2 linked regions of the Alligator mississippiensis genome follow. The protein of the gene in region 2 interacts with the protein of the main gene of each other region in a pairwise test. Links are inferred from orthologs where the notes say so. Each region holds a gene or a part of one and is shown on either strand. Other genes may lie near its edges.

Evidence for each region. The genes of interacting proteins can lie anywhere in the genome.
Region 1: the proteins of EEF1G (region 2) and KLHL18 interact in binary tests that used the Homo sapiens proteins (3 or more experiments, as listed by UniProt). The two-hybrid records come from large-scale screens. The link is inferred for Alligator mississippiensis from reciprocal best matches to the Homo sapiens genes EEF1G and KLHL18.

What each region holds. Positions count from the first base shown.
Region 1 is NC_081828.1:216,967,061-216,977,248, reverse strand, and holds the start of KLHL18 (kelch-like protein 18), read right to left. Parts: upstream 3,999-10,188; 5' UTR 3,898-3,998; coding exon 3,757-3,897; intron 1-3,756. UniProt on the Homo sapiens protein: Substrate-specific adapter of a BCR (BTB-CUL3-RBX1) E3 ubiquitin-protein ligase complex required for mitotic progression and cytokinesis.
Region 2 is NC_081838.1:3,124,940-3,135,248, forward strand, and holds the start of EEF1G (elongation factor 1-gamma), read right to left. Parts: upstream 3,805-10,309; 5' UTR 3,721-3,804; coding exon 3,706-3,720; intron 2,971-3,705; coding exon 2,812-2,970; intron 2,456-2,811; coding exon 2,392-2,455; intron 2,198-2,391; coding exon 2,055-2,197; intron 1,470-2,054; coding exon 1,326-1,469; intron 1,058-1,325; coding exon 928-1,057; intron 738-927; coding exon 533-737; intron 38-532; coding exon 1-37. Other genes in the region: POLR2G (DNA-directed RNA polymerase II subunit RPB7), read right to left, coding at 4,546-4,559, 4,752-4,785, 4,999-5,070, 5,543-5,608, 5,709-5,759, 6,178-6,337, 6,474-6,583, 6,917-6,928; 5'-3' exonuclease PLD3, read right to left, coding at 8,137-8,330, 8,556-8,655, 8,774-8,939, 9,531-9,670, 9,766-9,966, 10,167-10,294. UniProt on the Homo sapiens protein: Probably plays a role in anchoring the complex to other cellular components.

The DNA.
Region 1 (10,188 bases), on a different chromosome or scaffold from region 2:
GTGCTTCAAAGGGGGAAAAAACCAGAGACAAGAGTTGATGCTACTGAACAACGTTGGTCCTGCCTACACACGGGATCATTTACAGCTTTCAACCCCTAGCACCATTAAAACTCTGCTCATTATTAGAGAGGGGGCTATTATTGAACTGAACCCTGCTATAGCTCAGTAACCGTGCTCATTCCCATTTCTGGTGAAACACAGAGCAGCGCTTTAATCCTGGCAAGGCCAAGGGAGAGAAGCCAGGTCACCGAACACAAGGGTTTTCAGAGTACACATCGTCCCTTCGGACAGCCCGTATCGGAGAATCAACATGGCAACAAGCCTTTTCATCGTGAAACATGCACTAAGCCCCGCTGCCAACAGGGACCCCTCTGTTTGAAAAATGAGATTTAAACCATCCTATATTGTTCCTCCCGGGGTTTCGCTCGAGCTTTAGTCAAATACAACCTCTCCCAGGCAACCCACTTTGTAAGCCCTTTTTGGGGTTAAGGCATTTTAACATTTAAAACTTCATCAACACACACTGAGGGTGGCCCTCGACAAGGTCAAGGAAAAAGTCCATTTCTTAAATCAGCTGCTTAGTGAAGTGGCTGCTACACTGGCTGAAAAGACACTTCCAAAGTTAATCTGATAAAATTGACTTCCACAACACCTTGCAATGCATACTAAAGAGCCTGGAGAAGGCATCCTGTACTGAAGGAAAGAGGGGAAAAAAAGGCTTGGCTGGAGACCGTCAACAATGTCAGCTCAGCTGGCAAGGACTGTGCGAGCCAACGCTGAAAGAGGCAGCTGTCAGCAGGTGGAAGTGGCAGAGAAGGAGGACACTTCATGATCGTGATTAATTTATTCTCAGAGAAAAGAGTGCTACCGAGGGGAGCTGGGCTGATAAACAGTCTCCGGCCTCCCTGCTGAGCCCGGCACCACCATGAGACAAGCCCAACTCGCTTGCTCCAGCTGTGCGTGCAGACCTAGCAATTAGGCAGCACAGTCAGCCTGGGGGGTCCTGAATGCACACCCCAGCACCCGTCCCAGGCTCCCTCATGTCAGAGAGCGGGGAAGAGACAAGAACAGGGCTCATTTCCCAGCAGTGGTCTAAGACTCACCAGGGAGGCAATACAGACACGGGGGCCTTAGCCTCCTTAATCTACAGAACAGCTACTTCACAGGCCAAAGTACTTCAAACTCAGCCCCTCCTGCAGAAACATGCCTCAAAATTGATTTTTGAAAGGGCCATTCAGTCCTCTGCCAGCCAAAAGCCAAATGAGCTGGTAGATTTTTGTGATTTCTCTTCCTACAACACCATGCTTGCTGGAAACAACATGGATATCCCCCCTCAAAAATAACTGAGATGCTAAAAATGCTGCTGTTGTACAGAAGAACAAAGATCTCCCCGCCTGTCCTCCCGAGACGCAGATCTTGAAAACAGGGAGAGAGGCACCTCCCAGAAGAACCAACAACCAAAGCATTCACCCCTGACGTGGCAAACCTACACCCAAAGCTCGGGGCTACTTGAACCTGGGGCTGACATCCAGGCGACTGCCCTACCCGCTGGACTAGACCGACCACTCTGGCCTGTTTTGGCCTGACCAGAATTTCCATCCTACAAAATGCATCTCCAATCTAATGGAAAACGTTTCCAGGGAAAGTCTCCATTTCGACAAAGAAGTATTTTTCGGCGAAAACATGAATCATCCAATAGTTTCCAAACGTCTCTTTTTGGGGCAGTTTATTTGGAGGAACCGGGTCGTAGAAGTCACAGAGAAGTACGGCTGGGAGGAAACCGCTAGGGGTCATCTAGTCCAGCGTTTCTCAACCCAAAAGTGGATTGCAAGAATATATGAAAGGGTCGGGAACAAGCTTGGAAAAAAATGGATCAAACTTTAAAAAGATTATCCTTTAAAGGGAAAAGCCACGGTTTCCCATGTTTTTCTCCTTACAAGCTGGCAGAGCTGCAGGCTTGGGGCCCCCCATGCCCCACACACTGGAGGGCTGGGGCCTTGGGACAGCAGGGTGGGAGCGAGGGGCACTGGGTCGGCAGTGGCCAGCGAGGTTTACAAACGGCCCCTGGTAGAGAAAAGGTTGAGAACCGCTGATTTCTGAGGCAGGAAATACCTTGTGCCCCATACGGGGATCGAACTTGCAGCCTTGGCATTATTAGCGCCCCAGTCTGAGCTAATTGCCCGCCTGTTATGAAGTGCCGTGTCTGCGTGCCCACGGTCACCACCCAGACAAAACACACACTCTCTCAGGAAGATCCTGAGGGCAACTGAAATGAATCCTATTTGGTGCAGCTTGAATATCCCCATATACTCTTCATTTAAGGCTTGAATATTCCCATATAGTCTCCATTTACATACAAATCGCCCACAATACTTGGAGTGAAGAACACAAGGGCTATTTACACAACCCTTGTCTTACGCAGTGGGAAGTGGATGGATGAACTCCATTTGTGTCGCCCGAGGAACGTATCAGTGCTGAATTCGAGATGTGATTCGTACGACCGAGTGACCAGTCTGCACACCTTAAGCGTGAGAGCAGCACCATAGGTGTCCACCAAACGCCTGTGCCCATTAACTCCAGGTCTGTAATTACCAACTACAGAGACTCCCGCACCTCCTGCCGAGGCACCAGCTGCTCCCACAGGCATCATAATGGGATCACTTGCATGACACAGCACGGCAAGCCCTATCCAGGCTTTACAAACACTGGCTTATAGTCTCTTTAAGGCAGGGACTATAATGCTCTTAAAAGATAATGGGTTCCTACTCCTGTCTCTCCACATTAAGGTGAACGTCCAGAAGACGCGGTGCAAATCTCTGCCCTACCAACGGCAGGCCTACAGCAAGGAGGAGGCAGCAGCATGACTGCCCAGATCATCCAGGCCTCGGATGCTTCGCCGACAACATCGGCGCGTCAACGGCAGCTGCTGATTGTGTGACGTAAAAACGTCTGGGAGATGCGAACTCCTCGCGCAGCCTGCGAGGAACGCGACGAACGCTTCCAGCCCAGCAGCGACATCCTCCCTGTCCGAAGCCTGCCATAGCTCGGGCGTCGAACCGTCCACGCTGCGCTAGCCTGTCATCCGGTTCCTACGCCGCGGCCAGTATTTCTGCACCGTAACCACCAGCACGACACGCGCATGTACGCACACACACAACAGCTACCGAAACGCGCGCCTTTGCCACCGGCAAGTGCTGGGTCAAGCGGCTCCGGCTGGAGGGAGGGAGGACCACGCGGCCGAGGGCTGAAGACGTCCCTGGAGTCCGCGAGGCTCGTGCCTGGCGCCCGGGGGCTGGCAACGGGGCAAATGCTCAACCAGAGAAGGGCCGGGCCGGGTCATGTCACCCCCACCCTCGCTCTGCCTTGGCTGGGAGGGGCTCCAGGCAGCCGATGCCCTCGCCCTGGGCAGCTGGGGCTTGCGGCTGCAGCACCGCATGGGCCAGCCGCGCTCCCCACACCGCACCGCACCCTCCCCCACGTCCCAATGGCCCCCAGCCCCACTGCCCCTCCATCCCGCACCCCCCACCCAGCACACACCCCAGCACCCCTCCCCCGCCCGCCCCACTGCCCCTCCATCCTGCACCCCCACACCCAGCACACACCCCAGCACCCCTCTGCCCCTCCATCCCGCACCCCCCACCCAGCACACACCCCAGCACCCCTCCCCCGCCCGCCCCACTGCCCCTCCATCCCCCACCCAGCACACACCCCAGCACCCCTCCCCTACCTCATGGCCCCCACCCCTCCCCCCCGCACCTTGAGGGTGACGTCACAGAGCTTGCCCTGCCGCCGGATCTCGCCCATGACGCCGTAGCCGCGGCTGGGCAGGTCCCCGACCGAGAAGTGCACCAGGTCCTCGGCGTCCAGCTCGGCCTCGGCCGCCGCCGCCTCCAGCATCGTCCCGCGCCCGCCGGCCGGCAGCCGCCTCGTCTAGCCTCGCCCAGCCGCGCCGCGCTTCGCCTCGCCGCGCACTGTCCCCGCCCGGCCGCCGTAGCCGAGCGCCGCGACCCCGCCCCCTTGCGCTAGCGCCAGCGCCAGCGCCGGCCGGAAGGGGCCGGACCTCACTTCCGCGTTCCGACGAGTACTTCCGGTCCTGGGCGGAAGTAGCGGGAGCCATGGGAACGCTGTACACACCCCGCCCCTCCCCCCCGACCTGTCCCTGGCGGTCGCGGCGCGGAGGGAGCGACGGAGGAGCGGGTAACGCGCCCCCTGCCCCCCGTGTCACGTCATCACGACGTCACCCCCATTCCTCCCAGTTCACCCCATGCCAGGCGTCATCGTGACGTCATCCCCCATGCCCCCATTTCATCCCGTGCCACGCGTCATCACGACGTCATCCCTACACCCCATTTCACCCCATGCCGCACGTCACCATGACATCATTCCTGCGCCCCCTTTCACCCCATGCTACACATCATGACATCATCCCCACACACCCCCTTTCACCCCATGCCACATGTCATCATGATGTGATCCCTGCACCCTCTTTCACCCCATGCCAGACATCATGACATCCTCCCTGCACCCCCTTTCACCCTATGGCACACGTCAGCATGACGTTATCCCCGCACCCTGTTTTTACCCCCCATCGTGATGCCATAGATTCATAGATTCATAGATGTTAGGGTCGGAAGGGACCTCAATAGGTCATTGAGTCCAACCCCCTGCATAAGCAGGAAAGAGTGCTGGGTCTAGATGACCCCAGCTAGATACTCATCTAACCTCCTCTTGAAGACCCCCAGGGTAGGGGAGAGCACCACCTCCCTTGGGAGCCCGTTCCAGACCTTGGCCACTCGAACTGTGAAGAAGTTCTTCCTAATGTCCAATCTAAATCTGCTCTCTGCTAGCTTGTGGCCATTGTTTCTTGTAACCCCCGGGGGCGCCTTGGTGAATAAATCCTCACCAATTCCCTTCTGTGCCCCCGTGATGAACTTATAGGCAGCCACAAGGTCGCCTCTCAACCTTCTCTTGCGGAGGCTGAAAAGGTCCAGTTTCTCTAGTCTCTCCTCGTAGGGCTTGGCCTGCAAGCCCTTAACCATACGAGTGTTCCTTCTCTGGACCCTCTCCAGGTTATCCGCATCCCTCTTGAAGTGCGGCGCCCAGAATTGCACGCAGTACTCCAACTGCGGTCTGACCAGCGCCCGATAGAGGGGAAGTATCACCTCCCTGGACCTATTCGTCATGCATCTGCTGATGCACGATAAAGTGCCATTGGCTTTTCTGATGGCTTCGTCACACTGCCGGCTCATGTTCATCTTGGAGTCCACTAGGACTCTGAGACCCCTTTCCACCTCTGTGCCACCCAGCAGGTCATTTCCTAGGCTGTAGGTGTGCTGGACATTTTTCCTCCCTAGGTGCAGCACTTTGCATTTCTCCTTGTTGAACTGCATCCTGTTGTTTTCTGCCCACTTGTCCAGCCTATCCAGGTCTGCCTGCAGCTGTTCCCTGCCCTCCGGTGTGTCCACTTCTCCCCATAGCTTTGTGTCATCTGCAAACTTGGACAGAGTACATTTGTCATGTGACCTCATCCCCCTGCAAGGGGTCTCAAGGCTCCACAGGCCTCTGCTCCGGGGTGAGCCCCCGCCTGTGGCCTGGCCCTGCAGCCCCCTCGCCCCTGCTTTGCTGGGCCCCGGCGTGGTGGCGTCTCCCTGGTCGGGGCAGGAGCACTTCTGGGTTCCCGCGTATCTGGCCGTCTGCGCTCTCCCTGCTCGGCTTCGTCCGGACAGCGCCGACTCCCCCGGCCTTCTGCTCGGCTTCGGACGAACGCGGCGACCGTCACCCAGCCCAGCCACGGCATCTCCAACCTACTCCCGGAAACCTCTGAGGACGGGCACCAGGACCACCCTCGGAGTCAGGACGTTCCTGCTCATCTCCAGCTTCAGTTTCCCCTGCTGCAGCTTGAAGCCATTGCTCCTCATCCTGTCCCCTGCGGTCACAGAGAACAGCCTGTCTCCATCTTCTCTGTCTCTGTCTTCTCCGTTTCCATCAGACAGTTGAAGACTGTGATCAAATCCCGCCTCGGTCTAAATCCCACCCCTGGGTCCTCCAGCCTTTCCTCCTCAGTCTTGCCTCCCCGGCCCCCGCATCACTTTTATCACTGCTCATTGCTGCTCTCTCCATCCGTACTTCTCAGCCTCGCTCCCCTTCATCCCTACGTCCCAGGTATCCCGTGTTGTCTGCATCACTTCCACCCACAGGGCTGCGCTGCCACTCGTTTCTTTTTTCACATCCAACGCTGTCCCCATCTCATGTTGCTCACGGTGAAGATGGCAGCACTGTCCCTTTGGGAAACCTGCGCTTGCTCTGAACGTTGGAGTGGTTGGGACAGAAAAGCGATGCAAAAATGCCCGGATTCCTTCAAACTGCGGGATCAAAGCCATGGTTTTGATATCCTAATTTGGCAGACTGTAGTCTGAGAGGAGATATATTGAGTTTGAAAGCCAATAGGACATCTTTGACAAGTTTGCAGATAGCATTTGGGTGTGGTTGCAGATACTCTGAAGGGCAGGATCCAGAATGACTCAGTGGTCCACAATCAGTGAAATGAGGTTCAACAAAGTGTGTGCAAATATAGACAGGGGAATGACTGGCTCGGCTGCAGTGCTGCAGAGAAGGACATGGGAGTTACAGTGGACCATAAGCTGAGTATGAGCCAGCAGTGCTTTCTTATTGCTGAAAAAACCAACAGCATCCTGTGTTATATTAACAGGAGTGTCACCTGCAAGTCAAGGGAAGTGATTCCTCCACTCACTCACCTGGATGGCACGCTGTGTCCAGTTTTGGGCCCCACACTTCAAGGAGGATGTGGACAGGTTGGAAAGAGTCCAATGCAGGGTGACAACAATGATCAGGGGCCTGGACTTAGGAGGAAAGGATGTAAGAGCTCGGGTTATTTAGTCTGGAGAAGAGAAGACCAAGAAGGGATTTGATCGCAGTCTTCAAATACCTGAAGGGCGATTATAGAGAGGATGGAGATGGGCTTTCCTCTGTGACCGTAGGAGCAAAGGCCTCAAGCTGTAGCAGAGGAAATGTAGGTTTGAGATTGGAAAAAACTTTTTGATTATGAGGGATCAGGCACTGGAATAGGCTGCCTAGAAAAATTGTGGGATCTCCATCCTTGGAAATGTTCAGGAGGTTGCACAGCCCCTTGGCTGGGCTGGTTGAGTCAGAGACAATCCTTCCTTGAGCAGGGGCTGGGCTAGGAGACCTCATAAGGTCCCTCCCAGCCCGACTTCTTTATGATCCTGTCTGGGTGTCCAATCCCATTCTTCTCAGCCTGCTTGTCTCATGTTCGGCTTCCAGCAGAGTTGACCCAGCTCGCTGTCCCAAGGTAGATAAACTGAGCCATTTGCTGTGGGAAGGTCTCAAGCCACTCTGCTGCCTGCTCTACCTGGCCCTGAACTGTGCCGGTGTGTCAGGTTGGGTCAGATCAGTCCCGAGGCCGCTGCAACCATTGGGGCACCTTAGATGCTGTAACAACCCTCCTCCACTCTGCCCTGTGTTTGGCCAGCTTGGTGCCAACCTGTGCCCTGTCCAAATTGAGCTGTCGAGCCGAGATCCTCAACCAAGAACCCCCTTTCTCCCTGCTCTGCTGTGTGACATGTTGAGTTCCCCTCCGCGCAAGAGTCAGCTGTGTTTCGGTGCTGTGGCTGTATAGCTCCAATTACCAAAATCCTTAGTCTTTACTCAGAACTTACAGGAAAACTCACGTTGCTCTCCAGGCCCCAGCAAGGGCTGAGTAAGGATTTCAGGATTAGGCCTGTAGTTTGTAAATAGATTTGAGAGCAAAGATTTGCTGCAAGTGCAAACATTTGCCAGTATTCCACTGGTAGCATGATGATTATTACCTGTGATTTCTCTAGCCCCACCAGAGAAGCATGGCATTCACTCCGGTGAGAGCTACGGCTTCCTTGTCCCCTTTTATTGTTGGCTGTGTATTGTGAAGCTGGTTGTTTAGTGCTTGCTTCTTGTAGGGTGCTGGTGAGATGCTGTTGGTGAAGGGTGAAGGGAGACCTTGCTAATAATCTCATCTAGGCATTTCTTCCTGTTGCCTTAGTTGTTGGAGTAGCTAGGGGCGTTTCAGCTCACGTGCCTATTATACATGTAATTTTATGTTTAACGCTTCAATAAAAATAAGTAAACGCCTGTGTGGGGTTTAAGTTGTAGCCGTGTTGGTCTAAGGACATAGGCAGACAAGGTTCTTTGGGTAAATCTGATATCTTTTATTAGACCAACTCAAATAGCTGGAAAAATCCTCATGTGTAAATGTCTGTGATTCCCCCACAGATACCATCTGAAAAATCCACGGTTGGCTGGAGGTTTGGAGGCTGTGGGCTATGGGGCCTTTCGTTTCTAGGCTGCTCAGTAAAAACCTCTCTGAAGGAATCACTGTTCCTAACCCTGGGAGACTATTGGGTGTCTTGTATGGAACGACCTTGATGGATCTCAGTTCTGTGGTGCCCACGTCATAAAAACAGCGATGCAAATTGGCATCCCAGTCAGCAGTGACAGCAGAAAGGCCAAGGGCTGAGTGGGCCATAGAGGCTGAATGCCCCTTTCTTACAGCCGTGACTTTTCTCTCATGTGACAATGGTGAAGAACCACGAAAGGACTCTCTTTCTTCTAACAATGAATAATGAACTTTATTACAATAATGAAAATAGCACTTGCTCCAAAGCTTTTCTCTCTCTCTCTTTCTTTTTAGAGCTTGCACTTGGAACTGTCCCGTCACCCTACTTCTGCCGGGATTCTTGCTGCAGCTGAAGAAACAGAGCACATGTGTTTATAACCTTCAGGTTCAGGTAGAAGCCCATTGACAAGATACTGTGAAAAGTTACAGATCTGCTCTCTGAACTGTCCCTTTTCTTCGGATAAAGAAAGCGCTTCATGCTCCGGGGCTGTCACTCTTTCACTAGCATTCAATCTGTGTTTAAATACTAATATACAAACAGTAGTCATGAGCGTGTTTCATCTTCTGCAGGTGGCCTCACAAGCCACTCTCTGTGTTAGCTGGTGAGTATCATTAGTCTGGTGGCATGGTGAGAATCTTCCAGTCTAAGAAGTATATTGAAAAAGAAATTTCCTCGTATGAAATGGATATACCTCTTTGCCCTCAGGGGTGTTTGTTAAGCTGTTCAGACATAAGTACTTTAAGACCCTCAGGTGAAAGGTACTTTTTCATTTTTATGGTAAGTCATCATGAGATAGTAGACTATCTACATACTCTGTATCTGTGCACTTAGTATTCATTTAAAGGCAAATAACAGGGATAGTGAAGCAGCTAAAGTAGTGAAAGGAACGGAGAGGCTTGCTCTGCTTGGGGCACGGGTGATATCTTCCCCTGTTGTAACCCTGCCTCAGGTTATTTGTCCTCAGGTGAGCAGTAAGCAAATGACTGTCCTGAAAAGTTGATACTGGAATGTCCAAACATAACAGAAGTAATTCATCCCTGTGCTGTTGGGGTTTTGCACAGTCTGTGCCCCTGTGCAGAGCCTCTAGTGCAGGGGTGAGCCAACATTTGGGCCAGAGGGCCACTGGGGGGGTTTTGGTGAGCTGCCACGGGCCAGGCCAGCACTCCCTGTCCCTTGGCCCTGCAACAGCTCACCAAAATTTCGTACGTGGCTCTGCCTCAGGACCCAGCCCCATGCTGTCACCACCCAGTGATCCCAGGGGCTCCTTGGAGATCACCCAAAGTCCTGAGCTAGACCAGGAGTTTGCCCAGGAACTGGCTGAGGCAGCTTGCTCCAGGACCATGGTTGTCATGGGTGACTTCAATTACCCGGACATCTCGTGGGAGGATCGCTCAGCAAAATCTGAGCGGTCGCAGAGCTTCCTTTCGTGCGTGGATGACCTCTACCTGACTCAAGAAGTCTATGGGCCAACGAGAGGCAAAGCGCTGCTCGACCTGGTGCTGGCTACTGGGGAGGACCTAGTCGGTGACCTAGTGATCGATGGGAAGCTGGGTGACAGCGACCACGAGCTGATCACCTTCACCATCCGCCGAAAAGCTGGCAAGTCGGTCAGCAACGCGCAAGTCCTTGACTTCAGGAAAGCCGACTTTGACAAGCTCAGGAGGCTTGTCAGTGAGGCCCTAAGGGACCGCGACCGCAGGGAGAGGGGAGTTCAAGAAGAGTGGTTGCTCCTCAAGGGAGCGATCCTCAATGCACAAACTAAGTCTATTCCATCTCG
Region 2 (10,309 bases):
AGAATACTTCCGCTTAAACTCGTCCATGATGAACGGGCTGGGGGTGGGGGACGGTGGCTTAGTCAGTTTGAGGGTGGGCGCCAGCCGGGCTCCCCACAGCAGCCCCCAAGCCCCCCCTTCCCCAGCAGGACGTGCTGGGCGGTGGCCCAGTGCTCTGCAGCACGTGGCAGGGTGTGGGAGCCGGGGCACTGCGGGCAGCTGCTGCCCCCTGGTGGCTCCAGCTGACTCAGGTTCCCTCCCTCTGGTATGGAGGGGCTGGACCGTGCCCCCCCTTTCCCCCAGTTTGTCCTGACAAGGCAGCTCTGCCCTGCTCCATCCAGGCGCGCAGAGCCGCCTGGCTGCAGCCCCAGCCACTGGCATGAACAAAACAGGTGGCAGGCAGCCCAGAAGAGGCCAGGAGAGAAGGGGGGAAAGGAACAGAGACCCAGCTGCCTCCCGCTAAGCCTGGAAGACACATGGGAGGGGTGGAGGGGGACACCCCTCGGGTGCACTGGTCAACACCCCCCCCTCCCCCCACGGGGTCCATCCCCACCTCTTAGGCAGGTGTGCGAAGGGGTCCTTGGTCTTGGGCTCAGCCGCGAGGGCCTGCTCGCACTCATCCAGCTCATCCTCGGGGGCCGGCTTCTTGTCCTCCTTCTTCTCCTGCTGCTGCGGCGCCTGCTGCTTTTTGTCCTCCTTTGCTGGTTTCTCCTTCTTGGGGGTGTCTTTCTTGGGCTGGTTCTCAGCAAACTTCTTGGCTGCAGTGGAAGCGAGGACAGGGCCAGCCTATGAGGAAGTGCTGGTGCGGGATGGGCCCCCTGCACTAGCTCCAGGTGCAGCCTGGGCAATGCTGGCGAGTGGCTGCTCCTGGGAGGCAGGAACAAACCCCGACACCTTGGCAAGGGGACTCAGCCAAGCTCCCCCCTCGCAGCCCAGGGAGCTCCTCACCATCAAACTGGGCCATTTTCTCGCAGAGCTTCACCTCCCCCAGCACGGCCTTGAACTGCGGCTGGTTGATGCAGGTGACGAACCAGCGGTTGGTGTTCACATAGGGCTGGCGGAAGGATGGCTCCAGAACCTGGAGGGACAGGCCACCAGTCAGCTGGGGCTGGCCCCATCGCCACAGCGTGTAGAGGATCTTGGTTCCCTTCTACCTCCCCCACAAACCTTGGCGGCTACGCAGCACACACAGCGGCAGCCTTCTGTTGTCCTGGACACCAAGAGCTCCAGGCCAAGCCAAGTGATCCGTCTAGACAGCAGCCCCTGTCCAGAGCCTCCAAAGCTGCCAGCCCCCTCCAGAGCTGCTGGCTACGGCCACGGAGCCACCCTCCCCCCACAACCCGCACCTGCTTGTAGAGCCAGAGGAGGGTACAGACGACGGTGATGTCAGCCAACGTGATCCGCTCGCCCACCAGGAAGGTCCGAGTCCTTAGGTGTGCATCCAGGATCCCCAGTACCCGCTTCACCTCCTCCTTGGCAAGTTCTGTTGCCTGGGGGAGCAAAGACACCAGATCAGCACCCAGGCCAGAGAAACCCATGCGGAAAAGCCTCCTCCCTAGCTCTAGCCCATCCCTTAGGTGCTCAGACACTAATCCAAGAGGCAGTCAGCACGGGGAGGTCTCCGGCAGGGGAGCTCCCGCTGCAGAGCACAGTCCACCCAACTACCCTGGCCCGGGCATCCACTGCAGCAGGGGAGCCCACGAGCACTGGGTGCACCTGCAACCCACTCGGGCAGTCGCCAGGGTCTCACCTGGGGGGACCAGAGAAAGAGGCAGGTTGCGGACACCCCACGCCCAGCCATTCTTAAGGCACACCTGTACATAGCTAAGCCCAGCACCCCTCCCCTGACTCCAGGTCGAAAGACAACAGACCTCAGCTACCAAACGCCTCTGAGCATCCACCTAGCCTCATCGCCAAGCAGCCAGGACCTCGCTCTGTGCCTGGGGCAACAAAGGCAGTAGGGGAGCAGGAAGCCCACAGCCGACAGAAATGACAGCGAATCCCAGCCTTCACCTCACCGCAGGCCCCTGCAGGACAGCCCTGTGCCCCCCGCTCCAGCCCCGGCTCCCACAGACCTGTTTGTTGTAGTGCATGATGCCCAGTGTGGGGAAGACCCAGGTGCTGGCAGGGGGGACGACGTCGCTGTCTGCAAAGCTCACCCACTGGAGGACCTGGGCGGCGGCCTCGGCGCTAGCACCCCGCAGCTCCTCGTTACTGACTGAGAAGGGAGCCCACAGTCACCAGCAGCACAAGAGCCCCCCGTCCCTCCCATCTTCACTGGGGAAGGAAACTTCTCAGCGCTCTAGACACGTGGCGCTGCCCCCAACATCCATCCCCCCAGCCCCAAACCTCCGACAGACTCAGAGCTGCCTGGACCGGAGCCCCCTGAAGCTGGAGAGGGACCGGGCTCACCGTAGTACGCGATAGCGTTGCTCTCAAACACGCAGAACCCATCGTCGCCTTCGAAAGCCGGGACCTTGGCAGAGAAAGAGGCGTTTACCAGTAGGGTACGGGAACCACGGATTGTGGGTACGGGAACCCACCTTCGGGGCACCCCCAGCTCCTAGGAGTAGCCTTTCCCCCTTGCCAAGCTTTGGAAAGAAAAACTCCCCTTACAAACACCGTCCGAGCTCCCCTTGGGGAGACGCACGGCTCCCCTCGATGCGAAGCGGGACCCCTTGCCCTCCACCCCCACAGCGCAAGGAGCCGGGGCAGAAGGACAGCGTGGCAGCGGAGCCGTGTCCGATTTCGATGACTCACGGCTGGAAACCTGGCAAAGCCCCCAGCCAGATCCCATCCCCCCCCCCCCCCCCCTGTGGCGCCGTTACCCACCTTCCCGACGGGGAACTTCTTCAGGAACTCGGGGGTCTTGTTGGTCTGCCCGAAGTGGAACTGGGGGGGCGTGGAGAGGACCTTGACCTTGGCGCCGCTGAACTGGGCGGCGATGAGCGCCTTGAAGGCCCGCCAGTTCTCGGGATAGGTGTACAGAGTCTGTGGGGCGCAGCAGGGGGTGAGGGGAGTCGGGCAGCGCCCCCCCCCCCCGCACGCGCACACAGCGCTCCCTCGCCCCCAGCGAGGCACCTGCACCCCTCACTCGAGGCACCCCGAAAGCCCACCCACCGTTGGGCACTGCCCTGCCCCACCCCCAGCAGGATCCTCAGCCCCCCTCAACCTAGCCCCCCCCCTTTGCCAACTCACTCCTGCAACAGACCCACCGACCCCCGACTGATCTCCTCTGACCCCCCCCACACACCCCTCAAGACCCCAACCAAGGGGTCCTCAGCTCCAGCCCATGCCCCCCCCACTTCACACCTTCCTGTGCCCCCTTTGCACAGCTTCCCCCCCCCCCACGCAGCACAGTGCCCGGTGCCAGCTCCCTGCTTGGCACCAGCACCCCCCCCCGGGACCCCAATCCCCCCTTTTACTGGCCCAGGGGCCCCCAGCACCTCTGCTAGGGTCACGCCCCCCCCGACCCGGTCCCTGCCCGAGCCCCGCCCCCCAGGGAAACCCTCTAGGGGCCAAGGCCTGCTGTCACCCGAGCCAGGCCCCCCCCCCACACATCCAGGCCCCGCAAGCGGCTCCTCCGCGCCAGCTCCCGCCAATAACCGCCGCAAAGGGACGGGCCAGGGCCGCCCTCGGCCGCCCGCCCCGCGCCGGCCCCGGCCGGGCCCCCCCCGGGGCGGATGGGGCCGGATAGCGCGAGGGGGCGGGGGCCCCCGCACTCACCCCGGCCACCGCCATCTTCGCGAGCGGAGAAAGGGAGGCTGCCGTAAAGCGCGCGGGGGAGGAGGTGGCGGGGCCGTAAAGCGCGCGGCCGCGGCAGCACGACAGCTGCCTCCTGCCGCCGGCGCCGGCATATGACGTCACAGCAGCGGAAGGGGCGTCTCCCGAGGGGCGGTAGGGGGGCGTGGAGGAGCTTGCGCCTGCGCGGTGAGGCCTTGGAAGTGGTAATAACGCGCTTCTGTCACACGGGGGCGCCCGCGGGCTGGTCCTGCAGCTGGTCCCACGTGCTGTTCCCAGGGCTCCTCCACGCCCCAAACCCCACCCCCCCACTGCTGTCAGCTGGGGGGCGGGGTGCTGTTTTCAGGGAGGTCCCAGTCCTCCCAGACCGCCCTGGGGTCCCAATGGGGCTGGCCAGGGTTGCAGGGTCACTGCACCCCCTTATCCCAGGCTCATTCCCCAACACCCCTCCATCCTACTGCAGCTCTCCCCAAACTCCCACCCTGTGCCTGTACAGCACCTAGCACAGCAGAGTCCTGGCTCTACGGGGGCGGGTGCTTCAGCACAGCCCAGCCCCAGGCAGCCCCCCTCTGCCCCCCTACACCCTCCCACTCCCACGAAGCAGCTTCGGGTCACGGGAGGGAGTGGGGAACAGCAGACACACCACAGCGGTGTATGAAAAGCAGCTTTTATTGGGAGGAAGAACAGGCAGGTGTGGACCCGGCCCCCAGGCCTGGGCAGGCCCACGCCGGACCCCCATAAATAGGGCAAGCAGTGCAGGGGGGCAGAGGCAAGGCTCATCCCAGCTGGAGCCCAGGGACACAACCAGAGGAACGGGCTTGTGCATCAGCTCACGAGACCTGAAGGAGACATGGAGAGAGAAGGGTGGATGTAGGAGACCCTGGAGCACCATCGCCCAGGAGCCCCCACCTGAGAAAGACTGCAGCCCCTCGGTGAGCAGAGCCCGACCCGCGGGCACCAACTGTCAGGAGCACCAGTCTGTGCAGGTACGCAGGGATAGGGGCAGGCCTGGAGCCAGAGACGAGACTCACCCAGATAGTCGTCCATGAGGGAGCCGATGGCAAACTGCAAAGCAGGACACAGGTGTGAGCACCGCGTATGCCCCCCGCCCCCTCCCGCAGCCTGGGACTGGAGCCCCCATGCTCCCACCCCGCTGGCACTGGGACAGCCCCACAACTCCTTCCCACCCAGCTGCTCCAGGCCCACAGCCCCTCTGCTAGGAATGGGGTAGCTGGGAACCCGGCTCCAGCCCCACAGAAAGAAGCAGGCAGGACTCACGATGTCATTCTTGTCCACTCGGGTTCCCACAATTTTCAGCCGGATCTCGTCGTCCTGCTGGATCACGATGTCCTGCAGACACGTGGAGCCCAGGCGAGACTCATTTCTGCACCCTGCTTCCCCCTCCCCCCACACCACGGCAGCCCCTGCCATCTCCTCCACAGGGGAGAAGGGCTTCAATGACATGAATGCCTCTCATCACTAAGATGCCATTTGCAACCAGCTTGTCCCTCTCTTTTCTGGTTTCAGAAGTTTTTTGAAGGAGGCTGGATGGTTTTACAGATGAATAAAGTGAGGCACATGCGAGGGGAAAGTGACAGGGCCCAGGCCACTCAACAGGACAGTAGCAGAGCCTAAAGCAGACATGCCCCGTCCCGGCCTTCCTTGTCCCAAGGAATCTCATGTACTGGAAAACAGCCACCCTCCTGCCCCTTGCCCTGCTCTGGGGCACCCCCTAGCCCCTACCTGAGTTTCTACCCCAGCCTCCCCAGTGCCCCCCAATGCTGCCAGGTGCCCCCAGGGAGCACCGTCAGCCCCAGCTCACCTCGTCCACCGTTTTATAGCAGGGGGGGTTGGAATTGGGGTCGAACTCCATCTCAGAGGGGATGGACTATGGAGAGAAGGACAGTCAGCTGTGGTGGGCTCCCAGGTCTCACCTGAGCCTCCCAGACCAGAGGCAGCCCCCAGCCCCCTCCCCAGGCAGTGCTTACATGGCGGGAGATGAAGCAAGACATGGGCCCGATCTCAGTGAAGAGCCCAACCTGCGGGAAGAGGAGGCAGCAAAGCTGTGAGGGCCACGGTGACAGTCCTGGGTTTGGGCAACGCGGGAGCAAGGAACGTAGGGGTCTCGGATGTGGTATCTTAGGGTGGCCGTACGTCCGCCCGCCTTGCTCCTGCACTGCAGCAGGTGTCCACCCGCCCGCCTGGCGCACCAAGCTGCTCGGCCTCGCCGCTCAGGACTTCTGCCCAGCCAGCCAGGACCAGCCTGCAGAATCTGGCACTGTCCCAGCCAAAAATGGGACATCTGGTCACTCTAGTCCTGGGGGACAGAGGCAGCACGCCCCAGCCTCCAGCAGCTTCTACAGCCCCCCGCATCCCAAGACAGATGGTGCAGGGCTGCAGCCCTCCTCCGCACCAGGGCTTACACCAGAGGCTTTCCTGTGCCCCGCCGCCCCTCACCTTGTTGACCTGGGTCACCACCGCATCCACCACCTCGCCTTTAAAGGGCCGGAAGACGATGGCCTTGTACTTGACGGGGTAGAGCACGAAGCCGCGGCCCGGCTGGATGACGCCTGCCCCGATGTTGTCGATGGTGGTGACGGCGATGACGAAGCCGTACCTGCCAGGGAGGGAACGGGGCGGGGAGGGACAACACCAGTCTCGTTAGGACATTAGATCATGGTGGGATCCCCTCCATCCACGTGTCCCAGCTCCCTGTTCTCCCCCAACCCAGCCTGGCCTGGCCCCCCACTCACTTGCCCGTGCAGGTGCCCTCCACCTCGGTGAAGAGCTTCTGCTTCACCGTGTTGAGCAGGTTGGGCCCGAAGTAGCGCGGGTGCAGCAGGATCTCGTGCTCCAGGGAGATCTGTTGGGGCAGGACATGGGGTGGTCACAGACTGTCACAGGGGCTGGGACAGGCCCCCCTGCCCCCACCCACTCCCCTCCTTCCCCAGGACTGCCCCCCCATCACCCCCCCCAGGACTGCCCTGTCAACCCCCCTCCCTCCCCCCATCAGCCCTCCTTCCTCCCCCCAGGACTGTCACCCTCCCGCTGTCCACCCCCCCAGGTAAACCCCCTTCTCAAGGCTGGGCAGCAGTGCATGCCGGGAAGCCTGGTTGCGCTGGGGGTCTCCCTGGGGCGGGGTCCGCAGTGTCCCAGCCCCGGGGGCATGGGGGGGGGGGGGGGTTCCGCCACTCACGTGGTAAAACATCCTCCTGAGTCCCGACGTCTCCGGACCGGAAAGAACCCGCAACACCGCGCTTGCCCCCGATTGGCCGCAGCCCCGCGGGAGCCCCGCCCCCTCGGCCCGTAACAGAACCCCCACGGGAACTAATTGCGCATGCGCTCAGCCGAGGGACAGCGAGCTGCAGCGCATGCGCACTCGGGGCAGAGGCAGGCTGGCTGCGCGGCCGCCATGACACCAGAGGCACCCAACGGCGCCTGCGCGCGGCAGGCACAAGGGGGCGCTGCGGAGCCCCCGGCAGGGGCAGGGGCGGGGCCCGGGGCGGTGATTGATAGCGCGAGGGGTGGGGCGTATGCGGTGATTGACAGGCCCAGTGGCATCAGAATTTGCTTTATTGTCGCTCTGGTTACAAAAATAAACTCTGGAAAGTGACAACTGCAATGCACAGGCCCCCCCCACTCCCACTCCTCCCCCCGCAATGGCCCAGCTGCAAAGCCCCCCAAACCCACTGCAACCCCCTGCAGGGTGCAGCCCCCCCCTCCCCCAGCCACATAGGAGCTGCTCAGAGCCACCGACCCCCCCACCTCTGGCCCCGCGTTTGGCCCCTGGGGAGGGCTGCGTCCCCTTGCACCCCCAAGGCACAGCCCCTGTGTACAAAGCCCCCTGCCCCCCCATCCCCACGCAGGCCACCCCCAGGGCTAGCCACTCAGCCTAGCTTTGAACCCCCTTGGCCCACATCAGTATGCCCCCCCCCCCCCAAACCTGGGCCACAGCCCCCCAGCCGGGCTCAGTGCAAACTGGCAGAGGCGCCGTGCCCCCACAATGCCATGCAATCCAGCAAAGCAGCCCCCTGCCCACCCCGTCCCGCCTTCCCGCCACAAGGCCCTGCTCCTGATTAGCCCCGATTCTTCCTGCCCCAGCCCATGACCTACCCCCCAAACAATGCCCATTGCCCCTGCTGCTGCCCTGAGCACAACCCTCCCAAGACCCCTCGCCCCCCCCAGGCAGGGAGAGGGCATCAGACCCTGAGATTCCAGTGCAGAGACCCCCTGGCCATAGCTGCAGCCATGGGGTGCCTGGCACTAGGCAGCTACTGCTGCCCCTTCTTTGGCTAATAGGGTCCCAGCCCCCCCAGGTGGGGGGTGGGAGCCACCTGGTATCCCCAGCTGTCCAAAGCAGTCCAGGGGAGGAGGGTGGGGTCCCAGGCTTTCCCCCACCCTCAGCGGGAGCTGCCCTCAGTGCCTGGCAGCACAGCGGGGCTTGAGGCTGAGCGGCTCCGTGTAGGGAGATTCCCAGTCCCGGTTGAACACAGCGGCCAGCTGCTCCCGCAGGGAAGGCCCGGGTGTCCCCGGCTCCTCGGTGCTCTGATTCACAACCAGGCCCACGCCTGCGGTGTTGATGAAGTAATCCTCCGACCAGTTCGAGGTGCCTACGGGGAGGGGGGGAAACCAGTGATAAACACCAGTGCTGCTTGGGATTGGGCAGGGGAGGGCTCAGCTCACCAGAGAGGTCCCCAGAAAAAGGTGGAAGCCAGGGGTCCGGGCTCCCAGCTCCTCCCTGCTCCAAGCCCCCACGCCCACTTCCCTCCCAGGGCTGGGGAGAAGCCAGGTGTCTACGCCTCCAGCCCCCTCCCAGCACTGGTGCCCGGGCTTACCGATGTAGGCCACGCGGTCGGTGACCATGTACTTGTTGTGGTTGACACGGGCGAAGGGGATTTGCTTCTGCTGCTCCGTGGCCGGGACAACGAAGAGTTTCTGCAGCAGAGGTGGAGGGAGCGGTAGTGTCACCCCCTACCCCAACCTCCCCCCCAGCTCTGAAGTGACCCCTGCCCCTCCCTGGGCTGGGATCCTCTCCTGCAGCTCCAGGACTCACCACCTCGATGGGGCAGCCCAGGGGCTCCCGGTGCAGGATGAGCAGCGACTCCAGGAAGGGGAACATGGCGCGGTCAGAGTGAGGCCAGCAGCTGGCCAGGAGCCGCACGCGCACCCCCCGGCCGCAGGCTGCCTCCCGCAGCGCCTCATCCAGCACTGGCCAGAACCTGCGGGCAGCCGGCGCTGGTCACGGGGAGAGGCAGAGACCTCTGGGAGTCGCATCCAGCCCCAAACCCCTGCCCCACGCAAGCCAGCCCCTGCGAACTCACCTATGGGCACAACAATGCAATCACCTCCAACCCAACCACCCGAGCCTGCCCAAAGGGAAACCAGGGGTCTGTCTGCCAGCACCCTGCTCCTGTGGGAGGGGCGTTAAATATGCCCCAGAGACCCCAGGGCACCCACTGCTGAGGAAGACAACGCCCACCCCGCACCCTGGTCTGTACTAATCTGACCAGAGGAAAACTTCTTCCTGCCCCCTGTGCAGCATCAGTTTGACCCTGAGCAGGGGGCACGACCCTCCAGCCAGGACACTCTGGGTTGAGTCCCAGCAGAAGCATTGGCACAACCCAGCCACTGCCCCCAGCCTGGGCTGCGGCTGACACCAAGCACCACTGCAAAGAGGGAGAAATCTTGATGCAAGGGGAAAATTCCCTCCCAGCCCCATGTGGCAGCCAGCAAAACCCCAAGGCCTGGAGATCACAGGCATCACTGCTCCTAGACTTCCCCCAGCCCGTGCCGGTCTAGTCCGCGGCTACCTCTTGGGAGTGCAGAAGGTGCACTGGGGCACAAAGTCCATCACGGCAACATGGATGAAAGCCTGGGCATCCGCGATGGTCTCCAGGATGGCCTCGAGGTCAGGGGTGCGGCCAGCAGAGCACAGGGCCGGTGGGGCGCTCTGGGGTTGGGCACAGACAGTCTCAGAGCCGGCGCAGCGAGGTCGCCTGGGCGCAGCTCCCCTTGCCCCTCCTCCCACACCCCCCAGGCACTCACGGAGAGGAACAGCTGTGTGGGGACACCATTGAGCTGCAATTTCAGGGGCCGGCGGAGGCTGGACAGGGCAGCCAACTCAGAGGGCCAGGCCGCAGGCAGGGGGGTGCCTGGCCCTCCCAGTGCCCGGTAGGTGCCGAAGATGCGGCCCAGGTCACTGGCCACACAACTGCAGTTGTAGAGTACAGCGCCCAGCTCCTTCACCTGCGGGCGGGAAGGTGAGGTGGGGGTGAGCATGTGGCTTCCTGGGCCTGGGCCCTGAGCCCTGCACCCGCAGCCCCTGCCCCATCCCAGCATCTAGCCCCCAGCACCTGGCTACAGCCCCCTCCCCATCTTCCCATGTGCCCCTGGCCAGCTCACTGCCAGCACGTGCATGTGCACCTGCCCGTGTGCCCCCACGGTACCTGCGTGAGCGAGCGCCAGTCCATGTTGGCGCTCCCGACATAGACATGCTTGTCATCCACCACCCAGAACTTGGAGTGCAGCACCCCGCCCGTCAACCGCTTCATCTCCACAGAGCTCACGTTAGCCCCTTGGGGGGGAAAGG